Linked DNA regions of Schizosaccharomyces pombe. The protein of the gene in region 1 purifies or fractionates together with the protein of each later gene. This does not show direct contact. Each region holds a gene or a part of one and is shown in the gene's direction. Other genes may lie near its edges.

The links.
Region 2: the proteins of alp21 (region 1) and alp11 purify together in Schizosaccharomyces pombe (affinity purification with western blotting; one study listed by BioGRID). This does not show direct contact.
Region 3: the proteins of alp21 (region 1) and alp1 purify together in Schizosaccharomyces pombe (affinity purification with western blotting; 2 studies listed by BioGRID). This does not show direct contact.

What each region holds. Positions count from the first base shown.
Region 1 is NC_003424.3:2,385,040-2,396,263, forward strand, and holds alp21 (tubulin-specific chaperone cofactor E), read left to right. Parts: upstream 1-4,896; 5' UTR 4,897-5,046; coding exon 5,047-5,201; exon of another isoform or gene 5,202-5,239; coding exon 5,240-5,508; exon of another isoform or gene 5,509-5,550; coding exon 5,551-5,650; exon of another isoform or gene 5,651-5,696; coding exon 5,697-5,972; intron 5,973-6,015; coding exon 6,016-6,751; 3' UTR 6,752-6,904; downstream 6,905-11,224. Other genes in the region: SPOM_SPAC22H10.08 (uncharacterized protein), read left to right, coding at 868-2,226, 2,283-2,402; protein Cbp8, read left to right, coding at 2,694-4,634; TOR signaling pathway transcriptional corepressor Ifh1, read right to left, coding at 7,331-9,220; GDP dissociation inhibitor Gdi1, read right to left, coding at 10,376-11,224.
Region 2 is NC_003424.3:2,249,427-2,259,251, forward strand, and holds alp11 (tubulin-specific chaperone cofactor B), read left to right. Parts: upstream 1-3,956; 5' UTR 3,957-4,041; coding exon 4,042-4,746; 3' UTR 4,747-5,014; downstream 5,015-9,825. Other genes in the region: tRNA (uridine) methyltransferase trm9, read right to left, coding at 946-1,551, 1,601-1,681; ubiquitin ligase Btb3, read right to left, coding at 2,074-3,344, 3,395-3,486, 3,555-3,763; ribonuclease H2 complex subunit Rnh201, read left to right, coding at 5,162-6,142; adenylate kinase Adk1, read left to right, coding at 6,509-7,171; pcf11 (cleavage and polyadenylation specificity factor), read right to left, coding at 7,431-9,197, 9,246-9,395. UniProt on the Schizosaccharomyces pombe protein: Required for microtubule function and cell polarity. Involved in the proper folding of alpha-tubulin.
Region 3 is NC_003423.3:3,352,546-3,365,269, reverse strand, and holds alp1 (tubulin-specific chaperone cofactor D Alp1), read left to right. Parts: upstream 1-8,222; 5' UTR 8,223-8,544; coding exon 8,545-8,691; intron 8,692-8,735; coding exon 8,736-9,824; intron 9,825-9,868; coding exon 9,869-10,855; exon of another isoform or gene 10,856-10,894; coding exon 10,895-11,277; intron 11,278-11,325; coding exon 11,326-11,455; intron 11,456-11,501; coding exon 11,502-11,719; exon of another isoform or gene 11,720-11,761; coding exon 11,762-12,125; 3' UTR 12,126-12,224; downstream 12,225-12,724. Other genes in the region: rpl502 (60S ribosomal protein L5), read left to right, coding at 1-524; pre-mRNA-splicing factor srp1, read right to left, coding at 1,464-2,148, 2,198-2,254, 2,301-2,386; rpl1801 (60S ribosomal protein L18), read right to left, coding at 2,838-3,398, 3,451-3,453; SPOM_SPBC11C11.06C (uncharacterized protein), read left to right, coding at 5,374-5,910; knh1 (KRE9-like protein), read right to left, coding at 6,637-7,491; protein Ndc80, read right to left, coding at 12,456-12,724. UniProt on the Schizosaccharomyces pombe protein: Has a function in the folding of beta-tubulin. Microtubule-associated protein that is essential to direct polarized cell growth and to position the nucleus and septum to the center of the cell during mitosis.

The sequences.
Region 1 (11,224 bases):
GTTTATTCTCCTTATATATTAGCTTTCTTGGAGGTAAAATAAACAAAAAATCTCAACTATGCACTCCCTTTTTGTTCACAATCATTCAATTGAATATTTTCATTAGTTGTTTGATACTGTTCCTCCAAACATATATGTATTTGACGTATTTCAAAAGGGGATAAAGGTAAGCCTAAGTAGTAAAATAAAAACGTTTTTATTGCGAGAAGTTCAACATTTCTTGACAACGTCTTAATCAGCTGAATCAACGCAGATTTGGTAATACAATATCATGTCGCAGTAATAAATTGGTTCATATGAACCAGCTACAATATCGATCACGTATATTATATACAGCCAATTTGGTAAAGGCAATTTTGCAAACTACCTGTTGATTCATTAAACAATTAGATATTGGAAGCCGGAAACGCTTTCTTCTATACATTTACTTCATTTATGTATACATTATTTCTTACATTTAATGTGACCACAAGTAACATGCTGCATACATTTAATCCAATACTAAAGACGCTTTATCTTGTTAGTTTATCTAAAATATTGCTTTACTACATGCATACTTTCCTTAATGCTTATCAAATTTCAAAAATAAAAAATGCTCATATAATTTCCTTTTCCGTATACTTAGAATGGTGGCATCTAAAATAGCGGTAGAAAATAGTACCTGTTGAAGTGACAAGTAGTGAACGCCCAACCTTCGATATAGATCAAAAAACAATAAATTACAGCTGTGCAGTTGCTTTTATTTCAACATTGCAAAAACACATGTTAAATTAAAATTTTTTTTTAAAGATTCCCTCACTTTAATACTTCCTCCTTTTAATTTATACCTGTATGATTAATTCATGAGAACGTATTCTTTACATAGACATGGACGCTGAAGCCTTAAGGAATTTGTATTTGTCATCCATTCTCCCCAATGAATCTAAAACGGGTAATGAATCACCTGAAAAGAAATTTTCTTCTCCTGTGTTGTTGCAAAGGGCCAAAGTGATTCCTTTGAGACTTGAATATGAAGAAAGAAAGCTTCTTCATTTACTTACTGCTGCATTGGATGTGAGTGATTATACCGACAGCGTTGATACCCTAAGCTTTTCGTCGCCAGCGAAAAGACTGGCTCAGCAATTGAAAGGAATTACTGCAGTTTTGTCGGGTATCATGGTTGCTTATGATTATAAAGTTGGACAAGAATTGCTTGAGCATAAAAATTTTGAACAACATGCCGAATTTTTTAAAAAGATTTTTGAAATAGGTCGACGTTATAAAGTGCTAAATCCCAACCGACTGGGGTCTACTTATGGGAAATTGATGTACTTTGTGCAAGATTCTATGCGACCAGAAATTCAAGACGCACTTGGATTTAACCTCTTTAAACCCATTTTGACTGTCTATGAATTTTTGAATGAAAGGGATGCTTTGAACGCATTAGAAGATCCTTATGCCGAAATTGCTACTATGGAAATAGTCGCTGAAAATAGATCACGCTCAGCGATTCAAAAAGATATTAAAGCGAAAGAAAGAGCTGTTGAACATATTGCAAAAAAGTATTACAGCAGCAAAATTACAAAAGAGAAAGTACGATGGTGTCTCTACTCTATTGCTGATAGTAACAGTTACTTGAGATATAATCGTGATCCAATTGCCAAACTCATAGGCTTGGTAGAAGCATATTTTTCTCCAGATACCGTGGACGATGAGTTTACTCTTGCTATTGATGCCATTAATGGCTCAAGACTAAAGCATAGTCATTACAAACAGTACCATTATGTTGTGCAAAGTTTGCATCTTTGGCTTTTAATTATGGGAGAAATATTTTCATTATGGGCTCTTAGTGATCTGGAGTTAACTAACCCAGATATGGAGTATAAGCTAATTGATAACAATCAAGGAATACACAGAATGCAGCCTTGTCCCAACATTAGAATTGCGATGGAAAGGATTTTGCGGACGGCTCAAGAACAGTCTGAAACATGGATAGGAAGTTCAACAATCCATCTCGGAGATACCGCTGTTCCAAATGCCTTATTGTTTATAGACAAGTATATGCAAGTGCCAAGGATTTTAACACCCTTGGTTCTATTGTTCAAGGAGTTAGATTCTTTAAATGACCATTCTCTTCTTAACTACATTGATACAGCTTTTGGAGGCAGAGAATATTTAAAAAAGACTATTTTAACCGATTTTATGAGATTCGGATTTGATGGATCTGGTGCAGACAATTGGTTTGATGTAAGTTAAAATTATCTATCTATATATATATCTGTTTAATTACTAACTAGCTCTAGGCTGGCAGTTGTATTGATGGACGTTTGACTAGTGCCTGGAATTGGGCAAACAACATACACACAAAAGATTACTATCGTGTACTTCTCATGTCCGGATTTCTTAGCTTCAATGGTGAGTAATTATTTAGTAATGGATTAAAATACAATCTTTTAAGCATCAGTTATTTTATTATTGCAAAAATGTATATAAATTCTCGACGTGTAATAGGCTCCCACCAACAACTGCCAACATCAGGAAATCTTATTACGTTTCGCGTAAATTGTTCAAAAGATTGACATAAATACACGTACCAAAAACCTTTATTTACTTTATTTTATTGAAGTTGGTTGTATTTAGAGATACTTTGATCGGTTTATACTTAGAATACTTTGGAGATTAATTTGATAAAGGATTAAACCTAGGATGCGTTTATGTTGAAAACCCTTAGCAAAGTGTCAAAAAACTTGTCAAATACAAGTGCTTTTCTTGTCAAGTCGAAACCCTTATACATTTCTTTTTGCACTTGCAAAGCGTACTTTGAAGACAATACTTCATTAAGCAGACGGTTTTTCTCTGCAAAAAAAAGTTTACAATTCAAATCTTTAATAAGAAAGTATTCTGAAGACTCTACCTTGGCCTGGAGAGATTATGAAAACTATAATGATGATGACCTGCTATATCAACGTGAGTTATCAGAAATATATAACAAATGTCTGAAAGCTCTGCATCCGTTTTACCCAGTTTTTGAGGTTAATAGTAACTTGTATTATCAGTTGCTAATGTTTACGAATTATTCAAATCCGAAAGATAATGGTTTTTCAAAATTGCTTTTCTCACAATATTCTGACGAAAAAAAGGTACTGGTAAATTTCGTATATAATGTGCTTCGTTTAGATCCGGATTTGCAAAGGCAAAAGCGAATTCTGGAGAGCATTATTTCAGCTGCCTTGAATATTTGCGTATCTACTGTAAATTTGAGTAGAACTGACTTAAAATCTTCTTTAAAAATAATTTTGCAAACAATTGATCTGTTTAAATATGACAGTTCATTCTCTTCTATATATTTTCGAAAAGATGGACCGTACCACAAAGTTGAAAAACTGCTGAAAAGCGCTAATATTCGCTCTTCACTTAATTCAAAAACTTTTAATGATTTCCGCACACTTTTCTTGCTTCTCATTAGAGATTACAGTCTTTTCCATGGAAATTCGAGCCATTGCATGTTAGCTAATTCTATGCTACCACCGTCTATTGCTTTTTCGAAGATGGAGAAGGCTGAAATTTTTTTACGTTTACGTGCGTTTTTTCAGCTTATGGAGCATATTGATAATGAAAGGATAACTCCATCTGAACAGTTTCTGGATAAAGTCTTTATATCTCTCCTTTCGGCTAAAAATAGCTGCTCTCTTAAAATGTGGCTCATTCACTCATTTAATAAGGGATGGCCGGTAAAAATTGAGTTTTTTGTTTCTTTTTTCAAAAATTTTTCCAATATAGTAGAAGGCTCTATGGAGGTCTATTCCGCATATTTACATATTATACGAGATCACTACAATTTATCTGATTTGGCTGACGTACAAGCAATTTTTCTTTCTCGTTTTATTTTATTAAGAAAGAAAGAAGATTGCAAAAAACTACTGGAGCATGTTTTACCTATTCGTCAGCTTTTTTTGTTAAATTGCTATAGCCTGCTAAATGTACTCGCTAATTACGTTGTCGTCTTTAAAGATCGTTTAATTTTTCAAGAAATAAATCAAAATTGGGAAGAGCATAAAGGCCAAATTCCGGAAAATTTTATTTTCTCTCTTTTGAAGATGTTTGGTGAAATGCAAGAGAATCAAGGTTTTTTGAATGCCTGTATTTATTATATAAACAAAAAGAAAAATTTAAACGAAGTTAGTCGTTATAAGATTAATTTATTATTACTACAAGGTGTGAATTCCTTCGAAGTAAAAGACTTTTACAGAAAACGAGGAATCGAAATAATGCCAAAAAACCTGCCCAGATTTTTTTGTTATTGTTTAAAAAAAAATAAATTAAGTTATGCTTTAAAGTATATACGGTTATCTGGGCTTCAGTTTGATTACATTGTTGATTGTTTCCGTAATAGCAGCGACTGGACCAGAACTCTGATTTCGATATTGAGCAAAAAAATGGGAACTGAATTCGCAATTCGTTTTTTAAAGATAATTTCTTTTCCTTTGTTATCAAATGACAAAGTTCTCCGAGAGATCGAATTTTTTGCCATTCACGAGGTAAATTTTAGAAGTCTCAAATGGGTTGCAGATCAACAATTGCGAATTCTCCCAGGATGGAGTTCTCGCCCCCAAAAAGCAACATTTCCTTTATGTACAGTTCATTTAAAAAAGTGATAATTCTCGATAGTGCTGCTTCCAATCTACATCGTGCTTGGTGCTTGATACATTTAAACGCATTGTTTGATAATTAATATATTCATTGGTATCAAGTTGTACTTTACGAGGTATGCAGCCAACAATAGATTATTTACATTAACATTGAGAGACTTAATAAAGCAGCACATTTAAAAATGAGATCGACATTAGAATCAAAACCCGTATAATAATAAGCAGTATTTCCAACTATTTTCCTAACAAATCTGATGCCATCTATATTATCACTACGTACTGAACACTTCTATGTCGCAAAGAAAAAGTGCGGTTAAAACTTTTTGTTGTAGATAAAAGACAAAATTTGAAAGAAACAAAAAACTTAAACTGCCCAAATTTTTATAGCAATCCATTTTCTTTCCCACGTTGATTAATAATGCATATATCCACTGGAATGGTTAGGGCTTCTATATCTAATACTTTAGTAACATTAACCATCGAAGGAAACAATGATCGATACCAAGTCATACTTGATAAAAACGTAAATGCAAAACAGTTTGTTAAAACGTGTTGGAGAAACAAAAAACCATTGTAAGATTGTTATTGACGACAAGAAACTAAACTATTAGAATTGTAAAAGAAGGAAAAATATTTGTAGACAAAGGATTCCCTTTTGATCCATGCAGAACATTTTTGGAAGCACTTTACGAAAAATATTCATATTCAAGTCCCCTACCTTCCTCTGTTGAATTTAAAAGTGGAAAACAGGTAGAATTCTGTGGTTTCGAAAAAATCCAAAGCAAGCAAAGAGATTTAAAAAGCTTGCGCGTTATTATTCTAGACAATTATAGGATTGAAGATATTGAAATAGAGTACGAGTATTCTAAAATACTACCTGGTATGTCACTTATTTTCAACTAAATGTTAACGGAATTTGTAGAAGTTATCGACTTAGATTTATCGAGAAATTTGTTTCATGAATTTTTTCCAATCCTTAAATTGTGTTCCCAGCTTCCTTCATTAAGAAATTTAACTCTAGAGCATGTGTTTTTGTTTATCTCTACACGTATATTCTAACTCTTTCAGTTCAAACTTATTTTCAAATTTTATTAGCTCAAATACCGTTCTTTTAATTCCTCATTTAACACAACTTTCAGTGAATGGATGTGGCCTAAACAGTAAAGATGTTCAATGGATTACAGAGACTTTTCCCAGTTTGGAAGTACTTTACCTTGAAGCAAATGAAATAATTTTATCAAAAGCAACATCTTTTAAAAATCTGCAGTTCCTTCAAACGTTAAGTCTTGCAAATAATCTCAATCTTTATAGTGCTGATGGCTATGCAGTTGATGTGTTCCAAGGGTAAGTATATTTGAGAAATACGAATTAGGTTTCTAATCTAAAGAATTAACAATTTGAATTTATCTTCTACCTCCCTCGCTGATGTTGCAGAACTACCTGTACACACTTTACACAAATTGACATTCCTTGACATATCAGAAAACAACATTAGGGATATTCGTTCTCTGGATCATCTTCGTACATTAGAAAACTTAAAGCACCTGCGTATAACACTTTCTTATTTTAATAAACCTACTGATATAGCTAAACTGCTGGTGATTGCGCGAATTCCTTCTCTTGTAAAATTGAATGATGTGAATATATCACCTAATGAGCGTTTGGATGCTGAGTTGTACTACACTTCATGCATCCGGAAGCTTGTGATTGATAATGAAATTAAGGATGTTGAAGAGCTTACGAAAATAGAGCCATTCTGGGAGGAAATATGGAAATCTCACGAGTTGCCAAGCATTCAATTCCATTTGGAAGCTTCAATCAATGACTGGACGTCTGGCATTCTTAAAAATCGCATAACAAAGGGCATCAAAATATCGTCAATTAACTCAGGTGCGACAATGTTATTAAAGCTCCATTATAATTGGAAACTGTTAGATATAAAAGCTTTAATTTCATACCACTTCGCAATTCCAGTACATACGTCTACTTTTGTCTTTGCTTCAAGCGAACGAGATGTAAGCTTCTCTCCAAAGACTGTCAGAGACGACCAAAAGCGTCTCTTTGAACTCCCTTTTACTTGTACTTTTATCGATGTATATGCAAAGGAAAGTGGAAACGTCTAAAGCCAAGTTATTACTTGAAGGACCAAAATCGATGCTCTAGTTTTACGGCTTCTTTTAAAATACAGAAAAATCTTTTTAGCGAACTCTTTTCTAGTATTATAGTTTACGCGATTAGTCATTAGAAGTTTTTTATATTTAATATTCAATAACTCTTTAAATATACTAATTCCATGTATATACCATATATGAAAAGTGCCTCTAAGTTATTTAATCGGTTCGACACAATTATAAAATTATTAAGAAACAAAGAAAACCAAAGCCAAAACCTTGAACCAATAGAAAAAAAAAATACACGTCAAGTGTGACAAACTAATCCACCACGGTCAACTAAGATCAGGGAACTGGTGATAATAGGGAATCCTTGATTACATAGTTGCAACAAAGCAAGTTCAAAGACCAAATGAAAGCAAAGTGATCAACCATGTCATATAGATTTATTCTTCAATACAGGAAAAGACACAAAGTCCAAATATATTAAGGTTGATAAACGAAAAAATAAGAAACCAATATCGTAGTATTGGAAAATAATTCAGCACACCAAATACACTTATAAAATAAATTAGAAAGGAGACAAAAATTTTAATAGCCAGAAGATTCTAAGATTTCAAATAGGGGAGATAATTCTGGGCCTAAGCCCAACCCTACTGTTTCATAATCATTATCAAGGTAAGAGCCATCATTGTGTTCGTCTTCAAGCGCACTTTGAAAATCAGAATGCATCTGACGAAAAGTCATTTTACGTGCTTTCTTTTTGAGAGCACGACGAGCCTTACGTGATTTTGGTCGTAAAGGAACGGAATTTGTGGTAGTCATACCAGTAGCATTAATTTTGTGTCGGCGTTTTTCACGTGTTTTGATAGCTAAGGTAAACCATTCATCTCGAATTAACTCATCGCGACGTGCCATAGATTTTATGTACTGATTTTTTCGAAACGTCCCAATAGGAATTTTTTCCCAGCGACTCAATGAATTATCTTCTTGTGCAAAGGAAACTGAATTTTCTTCTTGAAGATCAGTTTGTGTAGAAGGTTGCAGAAGAGATGTATCAAGAATATCATCTAGGGATGGCTCTTCTGAAGTTTCATTCAGAGTTTGAGGCCCATAACCGTTGTTAGCAGTGTTTTCACCCTTTGTACATGCATCAAACTTATCATGGTGAAGGGAATGAGAGTGTTTACCATCAATAATACCAATCAAATGATTCGGTTCCTTAGCCCAGGTACCCATTACAGGCGGCTTTGGTTGGGTTATATTTAATCTTGGATCTAATTCAAAAGATGCTACAGAGACAACTGTAGAAACTGGTTGAGCTAAGGTAGCTTTAGCTAGTGTTGGGGTCAAACCAGTACTATTATCGGAAATATTTGCACGAGAAGCCAAAGAAGTAAGATCTTCTTTATAGGCGAGTTCAGCTGATAGCTCAAGCGGAGTAGGGACAGCTGAAAGTAGAGTACGTTGTGAGTTAGGTGATTCCGATAATTCTGTTTTGATTCGGGGTGTTTGACCGAAAGATTTTTTAGGAGTAGATAGATTTAATAACTTATTGTTTTGTAATTCTGGTGTTTCTTCATCAGTTGTATCCCCTTCATCATCTGCTTGGTGAGATAAAGTGTTGAGTTCGTCCGAAGAATCATCAAAGAAGCATTCCCATCCAATCAAGTCAACATCATCTTGTTCATTGTCATGATCGTCAACGCTAGAATCTGAACTAATAAGCCCCAGTAAGAAATCATCATCTGATCGCTCATCCATATTTACATGTTCGGTAAGAAAACGTTCACGATGGCTATTAAAAGAAGCCATGTCCATGTCCAAATTATCAACCCAGGAAGCGCTAACTATATCTTCTTCTTCTTCCTCTTCTTCTTCCGTAGATGTCGAAAAGCCATTTTCAGTTTCACCTTCGTACGTTGAGAGGTGCTTGCTTTTCGAAAAACCTTGATTATCCTTTTGTGGAGAAATAAAACATTTATTTTTCCAACTCTCTTTAAACATTGCATCTCTTTTTAAAATTTTCGGTGCCTCTAACGCAAACGATCCTTGATTAGACGAACGTCGTCTAATTCCTGCGTTTTCTCGTTTTACAAACTCTGTAGGGGGAGTAGAAACTTTTAAAAGTCCATTGGATACCTCTTTCGACTTGGGATGTGAGGAAGACTTTTTCCAAGAATTAATTTTCAGAGGCTCCTTATTTGAATAAAATGGTTTTTCATCGACAAATTTCTCTTTCGATCTACCGATTTCAAATCCCAGGGATAATTTTGAATCAGAAAAATCATGAAATTGATTTTCCTCACTGTCAGATAAAGGCAAATCCAATTTCTGTCTTTCTTCTTGAAAGATGAATGTTGGCATTTTGTCAAAATCAACGGGAAAATTCAATTCCGCTGGTAACTTTTTAATTTCTTCAGTATTTTGATACCCATTCTGTATATCATACTCTTCAATTCGCCCATTCGTTAGCGCCATCCTAACATTCGCAAAGACGAATTACTTGGCTGTGGTTAAGTACTCAACTGCTTGAAAGCGGAATTCTTAGCCTCTAGTTCTGATTCCACCAACTACCCTACCCTAAAAGTTGTGCGTGAAATCAGCGTGATGCCGCCCTAATTTTTCACTTCATTACGGCATTCCCAAAGGTAACACAAATTTCATTGCGACACTTAACTTCACGACACCAATGTTCATAATGGTGCTATAAATTACAACAGAATCTGCAACAATTGCTACTTTATATTATTTGCACACGCATTCCATATTTTTTATCGCACTTCCAATTGCATTTTTGCAATTCGTTTACATCTAAGTAAAGGAATATTTTCAATAGAATGAACTTGAATAGCATCTGGTGTAATTGCACTCATAGTTGGGTCATAAATTTGAAATCATTCATTGATTAATCATTTTGAAGTTAATTATGAATTTAGAGCAACCGTTGTTGGCAAAATAGTTGTTAAAGCACTTTGCTAATATAGTTGGTAAATATCTAATATAATGTCTATACGACAGAAGTTTAAATTACAGAACAGATGAATTTTACTAGCGTACCAAGCAGAGTAGTTCAAAACAGCACTAATATACGCCTGGCTAACGGTGCCTAGCTTCTCTAAAGCTTCTCACCGTAAAGCTGACTACTCTCATCAAAGTTAACGGTAAAAGCGGTTACTGAATCGTGTAGAAACCAGTTGGGAATATACATTATAAAACTTTAATAATTTCTGGCATATAATGTTATTGAACTTCTTTACATAATCTTATATTACTGATATTTCTTAATTATTAGATATAATTAATTTTTATTTTCATATCTTGGCGATAACAAAGTTTATTAAATAGTCTAATTCATTTTTATCATCTACCTAATTGAAAATGAAAAATATTTTTAATTCGATACCCATCAATCAAATGAACATTGACTGTAATAGTATACTGGTTTGACGATTCTACTTGCCGTAGAACATCATTTACGACCAAAAATCTTTTTCAGATGCAATATATAACATTTTATAGCATCATGCATTAATCTCATTCATTAAAGATAAATTCCAATCTGTGAAAACAAAATTCAGTGCGACTATAGTGGCAGCGAGTGACAAACTTGAAGGCCACAGATTCTCCTAATGTTTATTGATCTTCCATTTTGGGACGTTGCTTCAAAACCAAGTCAGTGCCAGTCATTCTCTTATAAATATCTCGAACGTCGCAAGTCAAGGTTTCAAAATGGGAAGTGGCATCTACGCTTTTACTGATGTAGCATTGATCTTTGGTGCCATCTGTCACTGGCTCATATATTTCCTGGACTCTAGAAAATGATTCCACTACAGGCCCAAGAAGCTTGAGACCAGGTGCGATTTCCGACAAAGGGTTAGCTGTCTCAACGATTGTGGAAATGATAGCCAAGTAATATCCCTTAGGGCAAACATTGTGAACAGATGAAATTCCTGCAATATAAATGTCGTGCTTACGTTTGACTTGGTTCTGTGGAATAATAATTTGAACGGAATCCAAATTATCTGTGTTAGGAATGGGATGGTTCAAGATACAAATAGCTCGCACAAGGCGTCCAACTGAACGAACTTTTTCACGAAAATAAGATGGGTCCCCAATTATTTGCTTAGCCTTTGCAACTTGATCGCCACTTCGAACACCGATTGCGACACCATCATCCCCATAAACAATTTCATCGACAGGCTGGTTAAGCATGTAAGTACCACCGTAAATTGCACTTAAACGAGCAAATCCTTGAGGAAGTTCGCCCAAGCCGTATAAAGGATATATATAAGGGGATTTGCCAAACTTGGCAATCGAGGACGCATACAGTAAAATGCGCTCACGAGTCTCTCGAGCAGGTTTTTTCAAATAGGCATCATCCAAATAAAGTGCCATAGCATGGCCAATAAAATCTTGAGTACCAGATTGCAACCCAAACTTTTTGAATACAGATTCCATAGAATCCCGATCAATATTTATATC
Region 2 (9,825 bases), 140 kb from region 1:
TAAGGAGCAAAGAACTGCTGATTACTTCTTTATTTGAATTTAGCAACCAAGAATTTATTAATGCATGTCGGATTATTAATTTAATTCATGCAGTAAGTGTTTTGCCAAACTATTAATTGCTTATTTTTTTCTCTTTGGAATTCGTTTTGGTAAATAGAAAAGCAAGTAACTTAGTCGCATTTAAATTATTAAATTCAAATCAAATTTTGTACGTTAATTACTATTCCTATTTGTGGCTTAATAAATTTTGTATAATTCCTACATATTTTTTACAATTTATCATTATTATTGGGACACGTTTATTCAAACACTGTTTTTTAGATAATTCATTTCATACTCAAGCACAGATTTATATTAAAAGTTTAACATATACAGAAATGCATGATTATTCCAAATTATTCTAAAAAAAAATATTTTTTTTTTGAAATTTATTCATTTTACAAAATGTTTTTGCTTGACATACTTCATCGATTTCCAATACTTATGCAACCTTTGAACCGTCATTTCACTAACCTACGTGAATAAACTATTAACAAAAATTAGATTAACATTTTAATTTCCAACCCATTCACAGATGTATAGTATCATTTAACAGAAAACCACTTCAATCGATATCAAATTATCACTATTGTCATACTAAGAAACCGTCAATTTTTTTTTTGAAAACAAGTACATTTGACCGCTTTTCGCCCTTGGGAATGACTAGTTCATCGCTTCATTTTATAATTAAACGCAGTAAATTAATAATCGAGACATAAAACACAGAAATTCTTCTACCAGTTAGATTAAAAAAAAAAATCTGTAAAATCATTTTCCGAACGAAAATAGTTTAAACTATGTAATTAAGGTAAAATAGAAATATTCCAACTTTTTGAGAACAAGTTCAAGAAAGATGAAAAATCTGTTCTATCAAGGTGATATGACGATCAATTTTCATTCCAAAACTTAGTTTTTTTCAGCAATTACCCACCAGTTATCACGGTCGTAGCCATGTTCCAATATTGAGCCGCCTGCGGTCTCTACTAACTCATTTAATTCACCCTTGCGAAATAAATGGTAGTAACGTTGATACGCAATATTTTCAGCAGGATCGTGCCCCTTTAATTCCTCCGGCTTTGCATTTGGATACTCATATTGCCTTTTTAATATCCAAGGAACATAAACGTCCTGCGGTCCGTCTTCTGAAAAACCACGCCTTGAATTCTTTTGTTCTAAAGCCCAAACAAAAAATAGTGCTTTCCCTCCTTTTACTAATGGTCTTAAAACTTCCTGAACAGCTTGCAACCTTCGGTTTTCATTGCTGAAATGATGGATTACAGCTATGCTTAAGGCAAAATCAAACCGATTGCTTGGATGAGGTACGTGCAGGCCATCAGAAATAACCATAGGACCTAGATTGCTTGCTATTTTAACAAGTTTTACGCAACGATCGCTTCCTATCATGTAAACATTTGGGTTAACCTTTTGGTATTTGCCATTTCCGCACCCAATGTCTACTCCTACAGAGCCCAAAGGCAAAGATTTTAAAAATTTTTCAACCACTGGCCATGGCTACAAAATGACTGATTAGCTTTAATTAAATATCGTTGTATTAACTTACCTTGTATCGAGTATCTGAGAAATGTGTTGCAATCTTATCATATACTTGATGAACATATTCATTTTCGTACTCTATTTCCATTTTAATATAAATAAGTAAAAATTTGTAGCCTTTGAAGCCGATTAAAATACGTCTCGAAGGTTGGGTAAGGTTAGCAAATGGTAAAACTAAAACGATGGGTTATAGGGATGTTAATTTCGAAATTAGAGATTGAAAATAATTTCCATTCCTTTGTTTATTGCCATGGTTCAAAATTAAGGATTTCATTATTCTTTATCATTTAAAGCAACAACTAAAACAAATTACAGCTACCAGTAACACAAAAAAAACGGTGATGGTACTAAAAGTATCCCGTTACTTTATTTTGCAATGCGCAAACTGAGATAAAGCCTTTTCTATGAATTTGAATTTTAATAATGATTAATTTAAACAGTTGAAGTGTTCAAGAAATATTATTTTTTCTACCATTGCCATTAAGCTTGTAGCTCCAGTTTATCTAGTAAATCGTCAATCATCTCCATTTTTTGATTATATTCGCTTTCATAAGGTGTTAATGTATCTACAACTCCATCAATGCACAAATCCTCATGGTAAATGCCAAAACGTTTTGAGAGGAAATAACGAATATCATCAATGAGTTCGATCGTGTCTGTTTCTTGTCTCTGTAAAATTCGATCAGCACTTTCTTTGACTAATTCACAGAATTCAGGATCGTCAATCAAGTGCTCCAAATGATTTGCCATATATTCGGAAGCGTATTGCTCCAGGCGAGGCGTAGACGTATCCCAAGCTGTTCGTAGAATATCGTAAATACTATCTATAGGCTCTTCTTGTTTAGTAATAACTATAGAAGCTAAAGATTTCAAGCTTCTATCTTTATCTAACGACAACATGTCTGCAACGTAAACTACATCTAAAGCTAATTCCGGCGCTATATCAGTTTTGTCGGTATATAAAAACTTCAATACAATTTCAACAACAGAACTTGAAAAAGGTAAAGACAAAACCGGTAGTTCTTGATTGCTTTCCAAAAATGGTCCTGCTAACATGTCCAAAAAATATTCACATCTGCACATGATGGCACGATGGACGGGATAGCGGTGTGTATAAGATTGCAAGTAAGCATCGTGAAACGAATACTGATCGGAAGGTTGGTTAAGAGATTCAATGGGTACTTTGTAGTTAGAGATTATATAATCCAAAAATTCTCCTAGATCATTTTGAGTTTTTGCCAACTGGATTTTCTTCCAATCTCTAGAGTGTAACTGCTCGCGATCTTTTTCATACAATGCGATAAAATCGTTTAACTGGAATTTTTTTCCAATACTCAGAAGAGCATTGTTATACTGTTTGGTGAAAACAGCATTTGTGTCTAAGTAGAGATATCGCAAAATTGATTCAAACTCTTTAGCAAAATGTTTGACTTCAATTTCATGTTCACTGGGTCCCAATTTCGAAAATTTTGATTTAAAATATGAACTTCTGGCAGCTAAATAGAATTTATGAGCAAAAACCCTACCATATTGACCGGCAAAGACTATGTCAGTAGTAAAATGTAAAGCCGAGTTCGACAACAAGGAAGTTATGTGACTAGCATAAGGTTGGGACTCATCAATGGCTTTAGTAATATCATAAGAAAGAAGCATACGGCGAATATTATCATTAAGGGCACCATACAAACATCTTTCTCCTTGAAAAGTATCTCGTTCGCATAAAGCACCATTTTCAAGAAGAAATTTTACAACTTAAGCGTGAGAAAATATAATAATTGAGAGCAAAACATTCATAGCATACCTGGTTCATGCCCGCAAAGACTCGCAAGGACTAAAGGCGAGTAGTCAAATTGGTCTACTTGATTAATAGGTGTGTTATAGTTTTCGACCAAACTGGATTTTGAATTTAGCAATTGCAGTTAAAATTGTTTATCGATTCAATATTTTTAAATTGCACATACCTCTTGACAACTTCCAAATCTCCACGCCGACAAGCTTCACAAAGCTCAAGAAATTCTTGGGTATCATTTACTGTGAAAAGTGAGGAAGACAGCTTCTTCTCATCCATTGCCTTTGACCAAAGGTCATACTTGGAGAAAAGCTTTTTAGAATTTTCACCACCTTGCAATTCGACATGTGTTGTCCCTGTATTTTGATCTTGAGAAGCCATTTTAATAAATGAAGAACAATTAACAACCGATTAAAAGGTTATACTGAGCAAAGATTGCACTTATGTTCAACAGTATTATCGACTTAAAATTTAATTGATCATATGCGAAATGTAGTTGGTTAACGAGGGTTCTATGTAATTGTTCAAGTTCGATGTGATTTGTGAACGACTGACCAAGGCGGCGTCAGCATTTAACTACTACGTCTTCCACCACTTTATATATTCTTGTGTTTTCCGTTTTCATTAATCATATATCTTAAGTTAAAATTATTTGCTACATGAATGAGATAACTCTCTTTATTAAATCTTCCTCTGCAAATGCTGAACGAAGGATTAACCCACAATGGACTGTTAGTCAGCTTAAGACCAAATTAGTTCCTATCGTAGGGACACCAGAACAATACCAAAAACTTACGTATGAACCTGCTTCCAGTACAGTCCCTGGACACGTTTTCACTAGCGAAGAAGAGAATTTAGACCTAGGGGAATTCAAGCTTCAGCCTCTGGGGACTATAGTCGTTGAGGATACACGCCCTCCTCATTTGCGTCTAGACTTTGACGATCTTTCACAGGTTGATAAATATGTAATGCCTCGTGAACAGTATGAGAACAGGACAGATTCTGTCTATGCCTGGAAAAAAAGAAATCAGCTTGGACGATTCAATCCAGACTTTGAAGCAAGTAAAGCTTCTCGACAAGAATCTTTAAAACGTGAATTAGTCGACTTACAAAAAAATTTAAATTCTAGGTGCTGTGCAGCAGGAGAGAGATATGGAACTATTCGCTATATTGGACTAGTGCCTGAAATTAATAATGACAATCTGTGGGTTGGCGTCGAATTTGATGAACCAGTTGGGAAAAATGATGGGACAGTCAGCGGAAAGAGATACTTTAATGCGAAAAATAAACATGGATCCTTTCTTCGATCTTCTGAAGTTGAAGTAGGAGACTTCCCTCCAGAAGATATTTTAGAAGGTCTTTGATGTTGTTATTCGTTTTACAAGGTTCCATGTTAATGATTTCCTTTTTTTTTGTTAAATCTTGTATGCAGGCTTCGATTGCTAGGAGATGACTCGCTTAAGATAATGAACAATTTTCTAAAAAAATGAAAGTCTAAAAAGTAAATCATTTAGTTTAGTCATTTCTCAATTAAAATATTTTTACTCAATCAAAGAAAGCATTATAACTGTAATGAATTGTTTGTCTGGCTTTTCTTTTTTTTTTATTTACATCGTTTTACCGTAGTACCGCTAATTAAAACCACGAACGAAAGAAAACTGTGTTAGGCCTATTTGCGCATTCCTTCAACCCCTTTATTTATTTTTTTATTCAGTTTTTGAGCCAAATATTAGAAGTACTCTGATAATTCTTTAAAAGATACAAAGCAGCAATCTCAACATGAAAGATGATCACGATGCATGGGAACCAGAAGAACTAGTCAGTGACAATAACTCTTCAGAAAATGAGCTACAAGAAGACCAAAATTCTTCAATAACTTTTTTACCACCTTCAGTTAATAAATCGAATCCCGCAAAATCGAATTACTATCATTCAACAGTCACTGATGATATTTCCAAGAGTCAGCCATATCGATTAGGAGTAGATGAAGCTGGTAGAGGCCCTGTCTTAGGACCTATGGTATATGCTGTCGCTTACTGTCCAGTCGATTTCGATTTGACCAACTATGGGTTTGCTGACAGTAAAACTTTGGCCTCCTTAAAGCGAGAGGAACTTCTGAAATTAATTTGCAACAAATCTAACGAGCTAGGAAAAAACGTTGGATGGTCTACTATGTCTATTTCCGCAAGAGAATTAGCTGCAGGAATGCTGAGGTACCGGAACAAGTATAATTTAAATCTTCAAGCACATGATACGACAATTGACTTAATAAAAAAAGTTTATGAATCAGGAATAAATGTTACAGAGATTTACGTGGATACAGTAGGACCTCCAATATCATACCAGGAAAAATTACAAGCTCATTTTCCTCAAGCGAAAGTCACTGTCACTAAAAAAGCAGATTCCCTTTTTCCCATCGTGAGTTTAGCTTCTATCTGTGCTAAAGTTACTAGAGATATTCAACTGGAATGCGCTCGTGAAAGTATTCGAACTGAGAACTGGGGTTCTGGATATTCTTCTGACGCTCGAACTACCGAGTGGTTAAAAGTAAATGTCGATAAAATTTTCGGATGGAAGGGAGACATAGTTAGATATTCATGGAAAACCGCTAAGGATTTACTAGAATTACCTTCCAAATCACAGTCTTCGATTGAAATAGATTGGCACGAAGATGACGATACTCCTACTTTGAACTTTACACAGAAAAAGAAACCGAATCCGGCTTCTCGTTCGTGGTTTGGATCAGAGTTTTATTTTTAGTTTAGTTACTATACTCTGTCACTACTTTTGCCTAAGACTAATTGTGAGAGTGATACGAATTTACATTTATGCTTAAAATCATTAATTGCATTGCTTCGTGCTTTTGGAGCTACGTAGAAAACCTTTATTAGCATTTGGTTATAGATAAAAATAATATAAATTTATTGTTCTATTTACCCCAGGCTTCTGCTCTGTTTATTGAGTTTGGTTTAGCACCAACAATAATATAACGACTTGTTAAAGTTCGCTATTATAAAAATTAGGTGGTCTTCTTTTACTTCTCAGTCCGATTTTAGACTACTACCAAATACCGCTTTGTTGTGGAATCTCGTTTTTTTTTTGCATAGATACCCAATTTGATCAAATATGGCTGGCATGAGACTTATTTTAGTTGGACCTCCAGGTGCTGGAAAAGGCACTCAGGCCCCCAACATTCAGAAGAAATATGGCATCGCCCATCTTGCTACTGGTGACATGTTGCGCTCTCAAGTAGCTCGTCAAACTGAGCTCGGTAAAGAAGCTAAGAAGATCATGGATCAGGGTGGTCTTGTCAGCGATGACATTGTCACTGGTATGATCAAGGATGAGATCCTCAACAATCCTGAGTGCAAGAACGGCTTCATCCTGGACGGTTTCCCCCGTACTGTCGTCCAAGCTGAAAAGCTTACCGCTCTTCTTGATGAACTCAAACTTGACTTGAATACTGTCCTTGAGTTACAAGTTGATGATGAACTTTTGGTCAGACGTATCACTGGTCGTCTCGTCCATCCCGGATCTGGCCGTAGCTACCACTTGGAATTTAATCCTCCTAAAGTTCCTATGAAAGACGATGTTACTGGCGAGCCTCTTATCCAACGTTCCGATGATAACGCCGATGCTTTGCGCAAGCGTTTGGTCACTTATCACGAACAAACTACTCCTGTCGTTGAGTTTTACAAAAAGAAGGGTAAATGGGCTGCTGTTGATGCTGCTCAAAAACCTGAGCAAGTTTGGGAGCAGATCGTTGCTATTCTTGAGAAGGCTGAGTAAGTATTTTTTTTAGGTTAGAGCTGAAGGGCCCCTTTCTTTTTCAATTACTTAGATATTTTTGCCTAGTGTTCGTAGGATATAAATATAGAATATTCTGAACCCAAAAGTTTTCGGTAAACTGTTTAGTTTGCTATACTACTATAAGCAGTATGTAAAACTCATATTTTAGCTGATTATATAGAAATATTTTTTGTATGTACATGATTCAAATTTATTGCTAAAATCCGAAAGCTCGAGAAAAATGAGGTTAAAACAAAACTCACTTGCTTTCTTGTTTAATAACTTTAGAAGACATTGAATCCATTGAATCGTCTCTCTCTTTGCGTTTACCAAGTGCTTGAAGGATACTTTGAATATCAATGCCTTGTAACAAATTTTGAACATCAGGTTGAGAGTCCTTCGAAGCGTCACCCGTAGCATTTTTAATATTAGACGAAACAGCTGCTTCCGCTAAATTTTGTGTACTAGTATTTGTGTTTGAATGTTTGTTTTCTGACGGGCGTACTTCTTGCAAACAAGTCGCATGAAATATACGGCCTTCCTCTTCGACTGCATTCATAAAGACCCAAACTTCAGCTTCCTCATGCCAAACACTTTGGAATTTTTCTTGACATATTGGACAAGGCTCGGACGCAGCAATTGGATCTAAGGGTGTCAATACATATTGTGACCTAACGGATTCCATTTGCTTTTGACGCTGTTCTTCGATTTCCTGAGCAGTCTCTGTAATTAAATCTTCCTCTTCTTTGCTATTGACCCATTCTTCCTCCATCACAAACCAACAGCGATTAATCCCATGAAGGCTACTTTCACGAATTCTCTTATTGATCCGAAAATGCCAATCTGAATGTTTGTCCAACTCCTTTCTACTTTCAGGATCATTTCCATAACGCCTACCACAGTTTGCGCATTGGTTAGAATAATTCTCATATAACAAAGAAGATAGCTTGGGCCGAGGAGTAGCGAGCGAAGATTTAGAAAGGTCAATGTCTGCTGTTAGAGACACAGCTTCAGTACAAGAAGCTTGTGGACCTTGAGACTTACCACCAGCAGATGGCGGAACCAACCCTGCAGCTTGCAGATTAGCAAAAAGAGAATCTATACTAGACGATTCTTCAGGCGTTAACGCGTTCGCGTTGTATAAGGATGCCGGCGGCCCTGAAGATAACGAATACTTGTGACTTTGAGGACCTGGATGGACATATGAATGAGTGAGTGGAGGTTGCGAAGATACAGAAGCCGAATACGCAGAAGGAATTGTAGGAATGGTAGATGGAATAGAAGGTTTCATAAAAGGAGTCGAAGAAATAGATGATAATGCAGAAGGCACGGAGGGAGCAGACGTAGCAACAGAACTCGTTGAAGGAGAAGCCGGCTTCTCTAATTGTGCCAGCTGGTTTTTTATAGCCAGCAATTGGTCATAAGGTAGTGCGGAAGAAGACAGCACATTTTTGAGTTGTAATAGTATTTCAAACCGCTTTTTAGCCATGTTGTCATAAGGATTTTTAATAAATCTAGCTTGTTCTGTAACAATCATTCGGTTAACATCAGATAAAAGAGAGTCCAGTGTAATAAATCCAGGAGAAGGACTGGTGCCCGAAATATGCTGAAAGCCAAATGGAACAGAAGGTAAAGACGGTTTGTACGAAGATGCCGGATCGGAAAATGAGGAGTAGGAGTTAATATTAGCGTCAATAGGAGCAGAAAATGATGAAATTGAAGTATTAGCAAGTAAAGGGCTCTGATGTCTCAAAATTGTTGATTTGTATTTTAGTAATGCGTTTTCAATTTTTGCTGTAACTATGGGGGAAAATACGGGCTCCAAAGAACTTGAATTCGGTGGACGTTGTTTCCAAGTAGCTAATAATTGATCCAGTTTTAAGCGCAGACGGGGTTCTACTACGGTGTATGCACTCATAAATGTCGAAAAAAGATGAAGGCCAAAAAAATAAGTATAAGGAGCTCCTAAATTCTTAGAAATAGAATCTAAAAGGTAAAGCGCTGGAAGTTTACAGTTAGGTGGGCACTGTAAATAAGAGTTAGCACATATGTTTCAATCAAGGTTAAATCATACTTTTTGGATATGTTTTTCAATGGCGTTCACGATGCTAATAGCATAAGGCTCATTCTCCTGCGCGATATAAGTAAGAGTATGGATGATAGGTTTACTGTTAAACGTTAAATCTTCTAATGCACTTAAGTAATCCAATTCCACTAAATCCATTTTCTTCTCTTTTCTGAGTTTAGGATAATGTAAAGCTAAACAAATCTAGCTATAGTCAAGTATGATAAATTATCTAACCGATACTGTCAAAACCAAAGTTTTCTTTTCTCAAAAATATCTTTTAAAACAAAATATTGTACACAATGATAAAATATTTACTTTTTAAACACACACACGCAGACTACAAAACAAAATTGTAATCGTGAGAGTCTCAAAAAACTAAGGATAATAGAAAACACCCGATATATTAGTACTGGGATATTTTCAATGCATCAGTATCCTTTTTCAATAAAAGGAAACTCTTTCTTTTAAAGAGAAGTCTATGGGACAAGGCAGCGTTGCTCGTAAGGAAGTTATTCGTATGTGATACATCTAATAGGTTATGTATTGTGTGTATATCATTCTCAGATTACAAAATATGGTGAAGCGT
Region 3 (12,724 bases), on another chromosome or scaffold:
GTGTTACTGAACCTGAGGGTGAGTTCGAGCTCACTGAGGCTATTGAGGATGGTCCTCGCCCCTTCAAGGTTTTCTTGGATGTTGGTTTGAAGCGTACTTCTACCGGTTCCCGTGTCTTTGGTGCAATGAAGGGTGCTTCTGATGGTGGTTTGTTTATTCCCCACTCTCCCAACCGTTTCCCTGGTTTCGATATTGAAACTGAGGAATTGGATGATGAGACTCTCCGTAAGTATATCTATGGTGGTCATGTTGCTGAATACATGGAGATGCTTATTGATGATGATGAAGAGCGTTATCAAAAGCAATTCTCTGGCTTGATTGCTGATGGTATTGAGAGCGATCAACTTGAGGACATCTATGCCGAGGCTTATGCCAAAATCCGTGAGGATCCTTCTTTCCAGAAGTCTGGTAAGGATGCTGCTGCTTTCAAGGCTGAGTCTCTTAAGTATACTCAAAGGAAGCTTACTGCTGAAGAACGCAAAGAGCGTTTCAACGCCAAGGTTATTGAGGCCGGTCGTGCTTAAAAAGGGTGCTTAATAAAAAATTGACATTGAAGAAAATTTTTATTTTTGGCGTAGCTTTGTTGTATATTCTTGTTTTGTTTTTTTTAGTTATGATTTATAAACGTAAAGTAATAACGGTTTTTTGCTAAAAAACTTCATGAATTTGATATATAGTTAAAAATTGTCTATGCGATTTTGGTGTCCAAACTAAAAGTAAAATATTAACACACATGTATGTTGAAAAAGTTGTATTCAACAGTAATACCTTGGAAACAAAGGCTGCTGGTAATAAAAAGCTCTGAAATTAGAAGTGCGAACAACAAAGTTGAAATATGATATTAAAATGGCATAAATAAATAAATAGATAGTTTTATTACAAAAATTTTTAACTCAAACTAGTGAACTGTCAAAATTATAGTCTACAAAATCCAGAAGTCAAAAAGTATTTTCATAGTAATTGCAAAAGCTAAATATATTTTGAGCACACTGTTGTGCCCTTAAAGAAGGAAACAAGCGACCATCATACCATAATTCAAACAAGCGTTTGGCAGTAGCATACCGCTAAATAAATAAATGCAAAGGAACATTCATGGTATCAATTTTTGCGGCATCACACAATTGATGTGAGAAAGAAAGCTTATATTGTGAGATAAACCTACGGCATAAAAGTTCAAGCAACAGCGAGAGAAGAAATTGGATTCTAAATCATCTGTTCAGAGCAAAATCTGCCACGAATCAGCACAGTCAAAAGTGGAAATTGTTGAGCTTTTTCTTCGGTTTTATTTTCTAAAAAAAAATAAAGCGCCCTGAAAAAAAAAGGACAGATTTACACAAACATGACATTTCAGAGTTTTAGCCGGATAAACGACATTAACTGTGTTACGGAATTTTGGAACAAAAGTAAAGGAATATAGACAATTTTTAAAACATGAAAACCTTTTTTTAATTAAGTACAAAAGTTTATTGAGACTCTGTAGTAGTAGGGTTGGATTCTGGTTGCTCTGAAGCAGCTGACACTTCGGGTTGGGCTTGTTCTGGTTGCTCTTGTGAGACATTTGAGTTCTCTTCCTTAGGAGGCTCTTGCTTACTTTCGTTTTGACCGACTGGTTCAAGATTATTAACTTCCTCGTTACCATTAGAGTTAGGTGCAGATTGTTGTTCAACTTCAGTGCCAGATTTTTCGTTAGACTCAGAGATTTTTGTGTCACCATTATCAACATTCGTTTCAGTTTCATTCTCTACTGGGCTCTTTTGAGGTGCAAAAGAGACTGGTGAAGGTGAACGATGGTTCCGTTTAGGAGAACGACGATCATAATCGGGAGACCGACTACGTCCATCAGGACTACGACTACGCGAACGATAACGAGGGCTCATTGATCTTCTATCAGATCGTTCATCATTATAAGGGGAACGAGATCGGGCTTCGTGCGGACTAGGTGACCTTGAACGTAGCCGTCCAGAATCTCCGTGAACACGACCTCCTCGTTCGCGTCTTCCACCACGTTTGGAGCCAGGGCCTGACGGAGGTGGTTGCTTGGCCCATTCTACACGAAGAACACCGCCACCTCTTTCGAGACGACGTCCGTGCACTTCATAATACGCATCTTCAGCATCACGGGAATCTTCGTACTCAACGAATGCAAAACTATCCAATAAGACGGTTAAAATCTTTACTTAGAAAGCCATTTACTTACGGTCTTGAAGTTCGAGTTCTAGGGATTGGGATGTCGCAACGTATTAAAGGCCCAAAACTAAATGAATAAATTAGCTATTTAAAGTGCATGAAAAACAACTTACGGCTCAAATTCATAAGCAAGCTCACGAGCACGCATTCCATCTCGAAATCCTGTCACATAAAGGGTACGAAGGCTTCTGCGACTCATTTTTTTCTTAAGAAGACGTTTTTTGCTCCAAAATTCGGTGTAAGTGGAAGGAGGAATGGAAATCCAATAGCGAATAGCACGGTGTGGCTAACGAATTTAGTAAAAATCACTCGTGCTCACTAAATTGAAATCCGACGACAAAAAAATTAATAATGACCTGCAGCGCGAAATACAAAAAGTAACTGCTAACACCAATATTAAATCAATAAAAGCATCGTCTTACAAGTACATATACGTTTACGATTAAAAAATTAGAAAGAGAATAATGTTAACCAACTAAGCTATTAGATTTTCATTGTATTCATATCTGGGAACGAACACTATTGATGTACACTAAAGCCGGATCAATAATGCACCGGTAACCTAATTTATGAACGCTAACCAAATGAGAAGCAACTAAGAGCTGATCCCATAAAGTGTGAGAAAAGGAAACGAGCTTGAACAAGGTAATTTAAACCTTGAATGCACGAGACTTTCTGCGACCACGAGCTCTCTCGAACTTACGGCCCTCAGAACGAACATAAGGAGCCTTATGCTTGTGGGGACCAAAGCCAAAGTGACGGTAAGCCTCACGAGCATGCTTCTTACCACGAACAAGAACAGTGTTGCTTCCAGTGGGAGCACGTAGAGCAAGCTGATCGAGGGTTAAAACTTCACCACCAGCTTTCAAAATACGAGCGCGAGCAGATTTAGTAAAACGAAGAGCGGCAATAGAAAGCTTAGGAACAGTCAACATACGCTCATCGTCGGTAACGGTTCCGACAACGACGGTGGTTTTGTTCTGAGAAGAAGCACTCTTACGGCTAGTTAAAGCAGCGATCTTTGAGATAGAAATAGGAGGACGGTTAGTCTTGGATTGAAAAAGACGCTTCAAAATAGCCTTGTTGAAGCGGGAATCTGTACGACGGGCCAAAAAACGGTAAAGCTTAACCAAAAGCTTTAAGTAGACGTTCTCCGAAGCAGGCTTGCTGCGTTGAGACTTTTTAACGTGATGTCTCTCGATATCAATTCCCTAAATCACTCATTAGCTTAATAGAACAAACAGGTATTCATATTATACATACCATTTTGATATAACGCTGCTTGTTCGTTTCAATAATCACTGCTAAAATTGGTAGTAAATTTGTGACTGCCTTTTTGAGCTAGGGTAGGTTTTAGGGAGGTTTATCGAGAGTCACTAGGTACGCCTTATTTGTGTAGCAAACCCATAAACGGAGGTGTATAAATGATTCAATATAAATAAGTATTTGCTAGATTATTTATTTATAATAGTGAGATTTTGGAATAGGGTAGGTGTTACTTTTGCATTTATCGAACACGTTCATTAACTCTCTAAAAATTAATTGTTTTATAAAACTAGATATATGAAAAAGATGCATTTGAATTTTACTGCAAATAATAATTGAATTATATAACCATATTTCATTGAAAATATTATACTTTATGGAACCCTTCAGTATTCATTTATTGTAAACCTTTTCATGCTTTTTGAGTAGACAAAGAAGTATTTTTTTTTTAAGCTGCACGAAAATTGCAAAAATTGATCGGAATACAATTTCTTTTACTATTGGGCGCTTAAAAGATAACAAAAATAAATATAAAGTGCGAACACGAAGACGTTGCAAATACTAGCATATTTCAAATATTAAGCACATAAGTAAATTAATCAATATATTTTTATAATTGATTATTCAAATCTATGTATCTGATAACTCGTAAAATTGGTTAGGTTACTTATTTACCTATTTTTTTTTTTCTAAAAGTATCATTTTAAGACCACGAGTCATCTACAGGATTGATTTTAATTTATTTTAGGCAATAAGGAACATATCTCGATTTAATAGGAAATCTTTGCAGAGATTTCTATCAATTACGAGATTAGGATATTTTTTTGATCGTTTAGATAACATTTTCTATTTAAAGGGATCAGAATGTTGCTAAAACAAATATATTTGCTTCGATGCACAAACACTTTCTAAATTGAACGTAATTATTAATCAATGATAATATTTGATTATTTAAGTTACTTGCATGTTTAGCTCACATTAACTATTTTAACTCTACGAAATTAAGTAATTGTTATGTCCTCTATCAATTTGATTTGAAGCAATTTCATGTTCTTCTTTTGGCATAGATTCAGTCAGCTTAGTAGTTGCAAGTAGATAATTCTCCATACTCTGATTGCTAATTTCTTTAGGTATTTAGCTCTTTTTTAAAATCAATGATATTTACTTAATTACTTTGGAAGGAGAAAACCATTAATATTATCTATTTGTATTATGAGTTGTAACGTGGTTTCGTGGTGTAGTGGTAGCATACTTCGTTTGGGTCGAAGTGGTCACGGGTTCAATCCCCGTCGAAACCCGAACTTTTTAGTTTGTTTTTTTATTTAATTCAGTATAAAAGCAAGTTTTCAACTTTTTATGTTTTCTGCCATTCCTGACTGCGGGTAGTAAACACGCGGCCATTTAGCAAATATTATCACAAATGCCGTAAATACTTTCTGTTCACTATAGTTTGTGCTTATAATAAACCTCTTTAGTTTTCTTTAGCGAATATGGTTAAAGCTGTCCTTTTTGAAACACTTTAACATGCAAGTAGTAATAGGCTATCATTTTTTGGTCATTAAATATTAAATCATTCATAACACTATATTTAAAAAGGAAAAAGTAATTCATTTTCTGTTCACCATAATAAAATATTGTATCACCTTAAACAGCGATAAAGAATCGTAATGCCACTTAGTAAACGGATTTCTACGCTAACTTGCTGGAATCTACTATAGATGATGAGTATCTTCAGTACAGTGCTTAAACTATTATGATGTCAACTGAGGACGTCATACTGTATACGCAAAGTATGTAAATTCTATTAATACATATATACCCACCACAACATACCAATTTAAATCAAATTCGTTAGTGTTTACAACTTTGAAGAAAATTTGACTTTTATCTCTCCTCATATTCACTGAAAAATTTTTTAAGATGTCTGCAAAAGAAGGAAGCTCCCATCCCTCATATGCCGAGATTGTAAGAGAACATGCTCCTGAACAAACAGCAGCAGAAAAAGCCGCACCACAGCCTCCTGAAGTTGAGGAAGTTCTGAGTGAAGAACCCTACCAAAAAAATGAAAAAGTTGTCGTTTTAGATGAGGAAGATGCCGACGCCTTTCTACATCCCGAAGAGGCGGAGGCAAAGAAGGAATCAGAAAAACCATCCGATGGGGAAAAGAAAGGTAAAACTGAGAAATTGGAAAAAGAAGCGAAATCTGTTTACTCCAAAGCTTGCAATTTTGTCAATGCTCATAAAGTTCCAGCTTCTGCTGCCATATCAATCAACCTCCTCAGTCTTGGCGCCATCTCTGCATATCTCTTGAAAAGCCGTCAATCTGGAACCCTTAACAATCGTACTCTTTGCACCTGTACCGCTATTGCTGGCATTGTATTTACAATCAGCGCTGTATTTTCAAAGACTCCCAAAACTGCATGCTGTGCTTCCAAAAAGTCTAATAAATCAACTTAATGTTCGTTAAAATCTGGAATTCATTGTTTGAAAATCTCCAGTATTGTTTATTCCTATCATCTTCTTAAATTAACATATCCCCTCTTGATTTTCTGCACTTCTGCTGCATTTTACAGGTTTGATGAAGAATACCTCTATAGTATATCACAATATTTTATTTAATGTTATGATTTAATTGAACATTACTTGTAATGCTTTTGCAATATTAACTTAGTGAATTTAGTAATTGATTCCGACTATTTGGGCGTTCTGGCATAGCACTGTCATCACACAATTTATTTATTTGTCGCGATTACTTAATTAAACAATGCGTTCAAACAAGTATAATTTACAAAATAAATTCTAAATAAAACCATAATTATTTATTAAATGTAGAAAATGATAACTAAAGAAAAGGGTTTAACCGAGAGTTCTTTTTGCCTAAATATGTAAAAGAACGAATGAAAAGGGAGAAAGGAAAGTAAAAATTGAACGAATGAAGAAATAACTCATGCACTTGAAGATGCTTTTACGTGAAATTAACTCCACAGAAACAGCATAATGGTAAATATGAAAAAAAACATGACTTTAGATAACAAATAACCAAAATATTTTGTTTTCTTTGACGAACGACTCAATGTATTTGAGCTAAAGGAAGCAGACAAAAATGCACACAGTAATATCCTAGTGTGCTAATGAAAAATCTAAATGACATGAAAGGCTTTGGCCTTAAAAAAAATTAACAATTTAGGAATATAACAACCCACGTTTGTGTTCACCTAAACGCATCCCACGTTTCGGAGCAGCTTGAGCCCAGCTGTCTCGTCTCCTTAAACCAGCAGTTGGAGTTGCGATTATAGTAGGCTTAGAGGCCGTACTAGCATAATTAGCATACAACGTATACATGTACGTTGGAGATGCAAAGACAGTCGAGGTGGCAATGGGAGGACCTGCAAACGTGGTAAATACGGAATAAGAGGAAGTTTCCCATAGCGGTTGTATGTCGGTCGTAGCAGCAGTAAAAGTAGAATCTGGTCGATTTTGAATAGGTCCTGTACGGAGAACACCGGTAGTTTGAGATAGATACCAATCTCGCATTGTACCTGTAGGCCATACACCAAGAAAAGTGCTAAAACCAGTAAGGGTAGGAACATAAGGATACACACCAAGAGCCATCAAAGACGCATAAATTTCGTAATTATCAAAAGTTCCTGTTAGACCATTAACAGTGAAAAAGTCAGTATAGTCATTAACTATACCACCAGCATATGTAGATTGTGCCCAAAGAAAGTAAAGACGTCCAGCTGGTCCAAAAACCTGAGAAATAGCGAAGGGTCCAGCTTGGGATATAGAAGAAGGACTAGGGGACGTATACAAGACTGCACAAGGTTGAGGAGCATCCATGCTACCACTACATATATAAAAAACTGTGTTGGTTATGTCCTCAAGAGGTATTCCCGTATTAGATTCTTCCCATGAAAACGAAATAGCGGTAAAATCCATACTATCTGTTGTCGCCGGAGTGACGAATCGAATTTGCGCACATACATAATGTATGTATGAGCAGACTAGCAATACTAGCATCAACATGGTGGTTTTCATTAAATTCGACGGCTTGAAGAGACTTTGCAAATTTAGTGGTAAGCGATATATATAAATCGTTGCTCTGACAACAGGGATGTATATCGAAACACCTTATTTGACATGTGTAAACAAATAATCGAGAAAAGTTGGTTTATTGTAAGCTAATAAAAGTGATTTTTTTATTTTTTTTTATTTTTTATTTCATGCAATAAATTTCGGCTTAACTCAAAAATATATATCACGAACAAGCTGGATATAGTTAACACTGAATATGTTTTAACCTGAAACCTCTAATTCAAATTCTCTTCAGTTTAGCAAGTACTTACAATTGCTCTGTAAATTTATGCCGACTAGTTTAAAGGCCAACATCTTGGGAAAATTATTGTAACGTTTGAGAATCTTTAAGTAAAGATCTATTTAAACGATACTGCTATACATTTGTAATATCAAATGCTAGTCTTGTACCAAAAGAATGAATAACATGCGAACTTACTGAATCTATGTCGTGAATATTATGTCTACTCTATGAAATAATTGCGTTAGAGCTGTCAATATATAGGCCCTTTACTACCAGATATGCTTACTGTCTGGCTGTATTCCTAATTCATTCGCAGAAATAATATATCATTTACAAATATCACAGTGGTTGCTCCAAAAGCATTCTTAATAACTGCTCACGTTTAGATTTGAGATTTGAAATATCAGTAGTGGGTACAGATTACACCACCACAATAATTTACCTTTTTATTATCCCACTTTTCATAATGTTTTTCAATATCAAAGCTTGTGAAATTTAATCGTTAATAAATCTTACAGGTCTAAAATTATTCAAACTTGTTTTATTTTCTTATTGGTATCATTTGCAACCTCATGAGTGACAAAGGAGGAAATTGTCCAAGGCAATACAGAAAATTAGGGACCAAGTTTTTTTTTTAGGACGAAAGAAATTCTAAAAGAAAGGAGATTAACATATTTTTTCGCTTTATTCGTTTTTCATAATTTATTCAACACGCGTTAATTGCTTAAAGTCGTTACAGTCAAAAATAATCATAGCATAAATTTTAAACAAAAATGGAAGAAGAAGAATCTTTAGAAGGAATTATTTCTATAGATGAGTCTTTGATAACCTCACGTTTATCGCAAATTCTCGATGATGTTTTAGACGATAGAAGTTCTTCACATTCTGTGGAAAAACTTAAAGACGTCGCTGTTAAATATGTATGTTTAAAAAGATATTGTGACCTTTCTAATTAAAATTCTAGTTGCAATTTTGTCAATTTCAGCCGACATTGCTCGATAAACTACTGAGTAAATACGTTCCAAACTTGGCTAGCTATTTACTGAAAGTGAAAAATATCGGAAAATGTAACTCAATTACCGTTATCCTTTACCAGTTTTGTAAAATAAGAGGATATAAAGCTGTTCGCGTCCTCTTTCCTGTTGGCGTTCAATATATTAAGGAATTATATACATTATTAAATGAATCATCAAATAATACCTGGCATTTTCACTACATAGTTTTACTGTGGCTTTCTCAAGCACTCAATACCCCATTCCCGTTAAATTCATTAGATGATTCCTTGGATGTGAAGAAGACCATTTACACTATAGCAATTAAATACTTAGAAAATTCGGGAATAGACAAAGAAGCTTCTTGTCTTGTTTTGTCCCGATTATTCTCTCGTGATGACGGTTTGGATTTACTTCTAGGCTTTCTACACCACTGTGAGAGTAGTTGGTTTAAGAGAAGTATCTTTTACAAAATTGGGTGTCTTTTTTCCTTATCTTCTTTTCTTAAAATTTGTCCGAGAAATGATTGTCTTCAAACAGTTGATGTTGCGTTTCAGTTTCTGAATGTAGCACGAGAAGATTTAGTTGGACAAGAAAATTCAGCGTTGAGGAAATTATTATGCAAATGTTATACAAGATTGGGAATTGTATTGCTGCCTGTAAATTCATCCCCTAATTGGAAATACTCGATCAGTAACCCAGATAGTTTCTTTCAATTACCTGATGACTCTAACGAAGAAGTACATATATATCTGGAGGTTATTGTTGATTTTTTATTGTCATCTGTAAGCGACATAGACAGTTTTGTACGCTGGTCTGCAGCCAAAGGGCTAGCCAAGATCATAAGTCGTTTGCCCTGGAATTTGGCTGAGCAAGTTATCGATGCCATTATTGAATTGATGACAGAAAATATGTTTTTAAACCCCATAGAAAACACTGTAAACATATCAATTACTTCTCCACTGGTTTGGCACGGAGCTATACTTTTCTTCGCAAAACTAGCAGGTGCAGGTTTAATTAAGTATAGTAAATGTTTACATATTCTTCCATTGATCGAAGTAGTAAGTACACTTTGTTTTCTTATATCATTCTAATCCTTATTTAGGGCTTATCATACGAAGTAAGATATGGAACTAGAGTAACAGGACAAAGCATCAGAGATGCCTCCTGTTATTTTGTTTGGTCATTTTATCATTGCTACTCTAAGTCAGCAATTGAAGGCTTACAAACGAATCTTATTTTATGTCTCTTACAAACGGTATTGTTTGACAATGAAATAAATGTGCGCAGAGCTGCAACTGCTGCTTTATTTGAGGTGATTGGCAGACACGCTTCTATTCCCGATGGGCTTTCTTTGATATCACATATTAACTATGTTTCTGTAACGGATATTTCAAATTGTTATGGTGACTTGTGTATGAAAGTAGCTCATTTTCCTCAGTTTCGTTCCTGTGTTTTCCAAAGACTATTTACAAACCTTCAGCACTGGGACGTGAAGGTACAGCAGCTTTCTGCTTTTTCCCTAAGACAACTTTCTATTAAATATCCCAAAGAGCTAAGCATCTATCTTCCTCCCATACTTGATTATTTGTCTGTTGGTAATGCAGATTTTATTTTTGGCTATACGATTGGATTGGCAAGTATTATAGGTGGATTTTTATCCATAAGCTTCCCGTTCGATATAAATCGTATCCATGATTTACTGTCGCACAAAAACCTACTGTCCTTAAAAAAATTTTCAAGGCAACAGCAAACAAAAATTATTTTGGGAATTTTAAAAGGAATTCAACAAATTTTTGCCAATGATATTCGTGTTGACAGAGCATTTTTCAGTGAAGCATTTTCTGTTATAATCGCTGCTATTGATTTACAGGAGGAAACAATCATAAAAGACATCAGTGACGCTTACAGTGTACTTGTTAAATTTGATGATATGGAAGAAACATTGGAGGTTCTTCTTGACTATATACGAAAATGCTCAACAAGTAAAGAAGCGAGAATTGTATACATTATTCTACAGAATTTACCGAATATAAGTTTTCGATACCAGAAAAAGATATGCAAGCTTTTATTGGATATTTATCCCCAACTCGTAAGTAAAGAATTTTTTCACCAATGTTAACATGAACAGCACTCAATAGACTATCAAGCACCTGTTGCGAATGCGCTTCAAAATATTATTCCCTTTACTTATGAAAAAACAGAAAGCATTGAAGAATTTGTCAAAGAATTACTTCAGGTTTGCTCCAATTATTTGACAGATACCCGAGGAGATGTTGGCTCATGGATTCGCAAACCTGCAATGAAGGCCATTTCCAGTCTATTAGTCAAAGATTCATCTGGAAAAAAATTAAGTGAAGATATAGTTTGGTGTTGTATTTCCTATATTATAAGGCAAACATTTGATAAAATTGATAGTTTGAGGGGTTTGGCATATCAAGCACTCGAACAAATCAGAGTACATTACCTAATCAGAAGATGCGAAGCTTTGACTAATATTATTAATCGTATTAGGTAAAATGAGTTTTCAATTAAAATTCTGCTATTAACCACTAGTTTCAGGAATAATCCAAATATGGATGGAGAGGTACTAAATGAACTGAATATATCTCTGCTAGAAATACCTAATTTAAGGCTTCAAGCTTTTTACGGAATTACAGTATTTACTGCCGATGGTTTTGGCAGTGACTTAGTAAGTTATCATATGCTTCGATGTCTTAATATACTAACTCTACTAGGCAGTTAAATGTTTTGAATTTTATCTAAGTTATGTTTACCAGTTAGAAGATTCGTTTAAAAAATCTAACTCTCGTTATGGTAAACGGGATCTTCTACAACTCTATATAGACATACTTTCTTCGGAGGATGAAATAGCTCGTTTCTATTTTCCAATCATGAAATCTTTCACATCTTTGTTAGCATATGGTTGTTTCACGGACTTTCAAAACGTTAAGGGGTATGTTTTTTTACATTTTGTTCAAAATACTAATGATATCAGCATGTCAAAAGCGATTTTTATTGTACAGAGAAGGGCTCTTACTTGTAAATCACCAGGGGGACTTTCTGCGATACTAGAGTTATATCGGACGCTTTTTCTTTCCAAAAATGAACTTTTGAGGCATCATGCTTTAAAATATACGGCAAACCTACTATTAAACCCGATTGAAAAAGTACGCTACCAAGCAGCCGACACTTTGCTCTATGCGAAGTCAATTGGTTTGCTAACTTTCCTCCCTAATGAATTAAACCAAAAACTACTGACTTTGGATTGGTTCGTACCAGTATCTCAAAACGCAACTTTTGTTAAACAGCTAAGGAATATAATACAGAAACAAATAGATAAACTGATAGCTGATCGATAATAAATTTTGAACTACTTTCAGCTTTTTAAATAGTCGTGTATATGATGTATAAAAACGTTAAAATCTGCAATCAATAAAATATCTGGTGAATAATCTCAAATTTTTAGCCAAAACAGTTCGTGCTTATGTAGTACTAAATTGATGTCCATAAAAGGAACACAACCAATAAAAATTACATTTGAAAATTGAGAGTTGAATTATTATTACCTTCATTAGAATTGTAATTAAAAAGTAAGAGATTAAAGCATAAAACACAAAAACACCATCGTGATAAAAAAATGTATTCATGAGCCGTGAATATAGTAGACAGCACAATACGATGAATAGAATTTACAGTTCCGAACGAGATAGGTCATCCAATTCCTTTTGGTAGTCCATCTTCAAATCCTCCAAACTGTCTTGAACGTGTAGCTTGAAATGTATTATTTCACCAAGCACAAATGCAACCTCTTTATATATATTGTTTTTGTACTCCATGCAAGCATGTGCAATTTGATCCGCTTCGATATTTATACTTTGTATACGCTGGTCTAATTGAAGCATGCTGTTATGCGAAGAAAGTTTGAGCTGTTGTAATTCTCTTTCTAACTTATCCGATT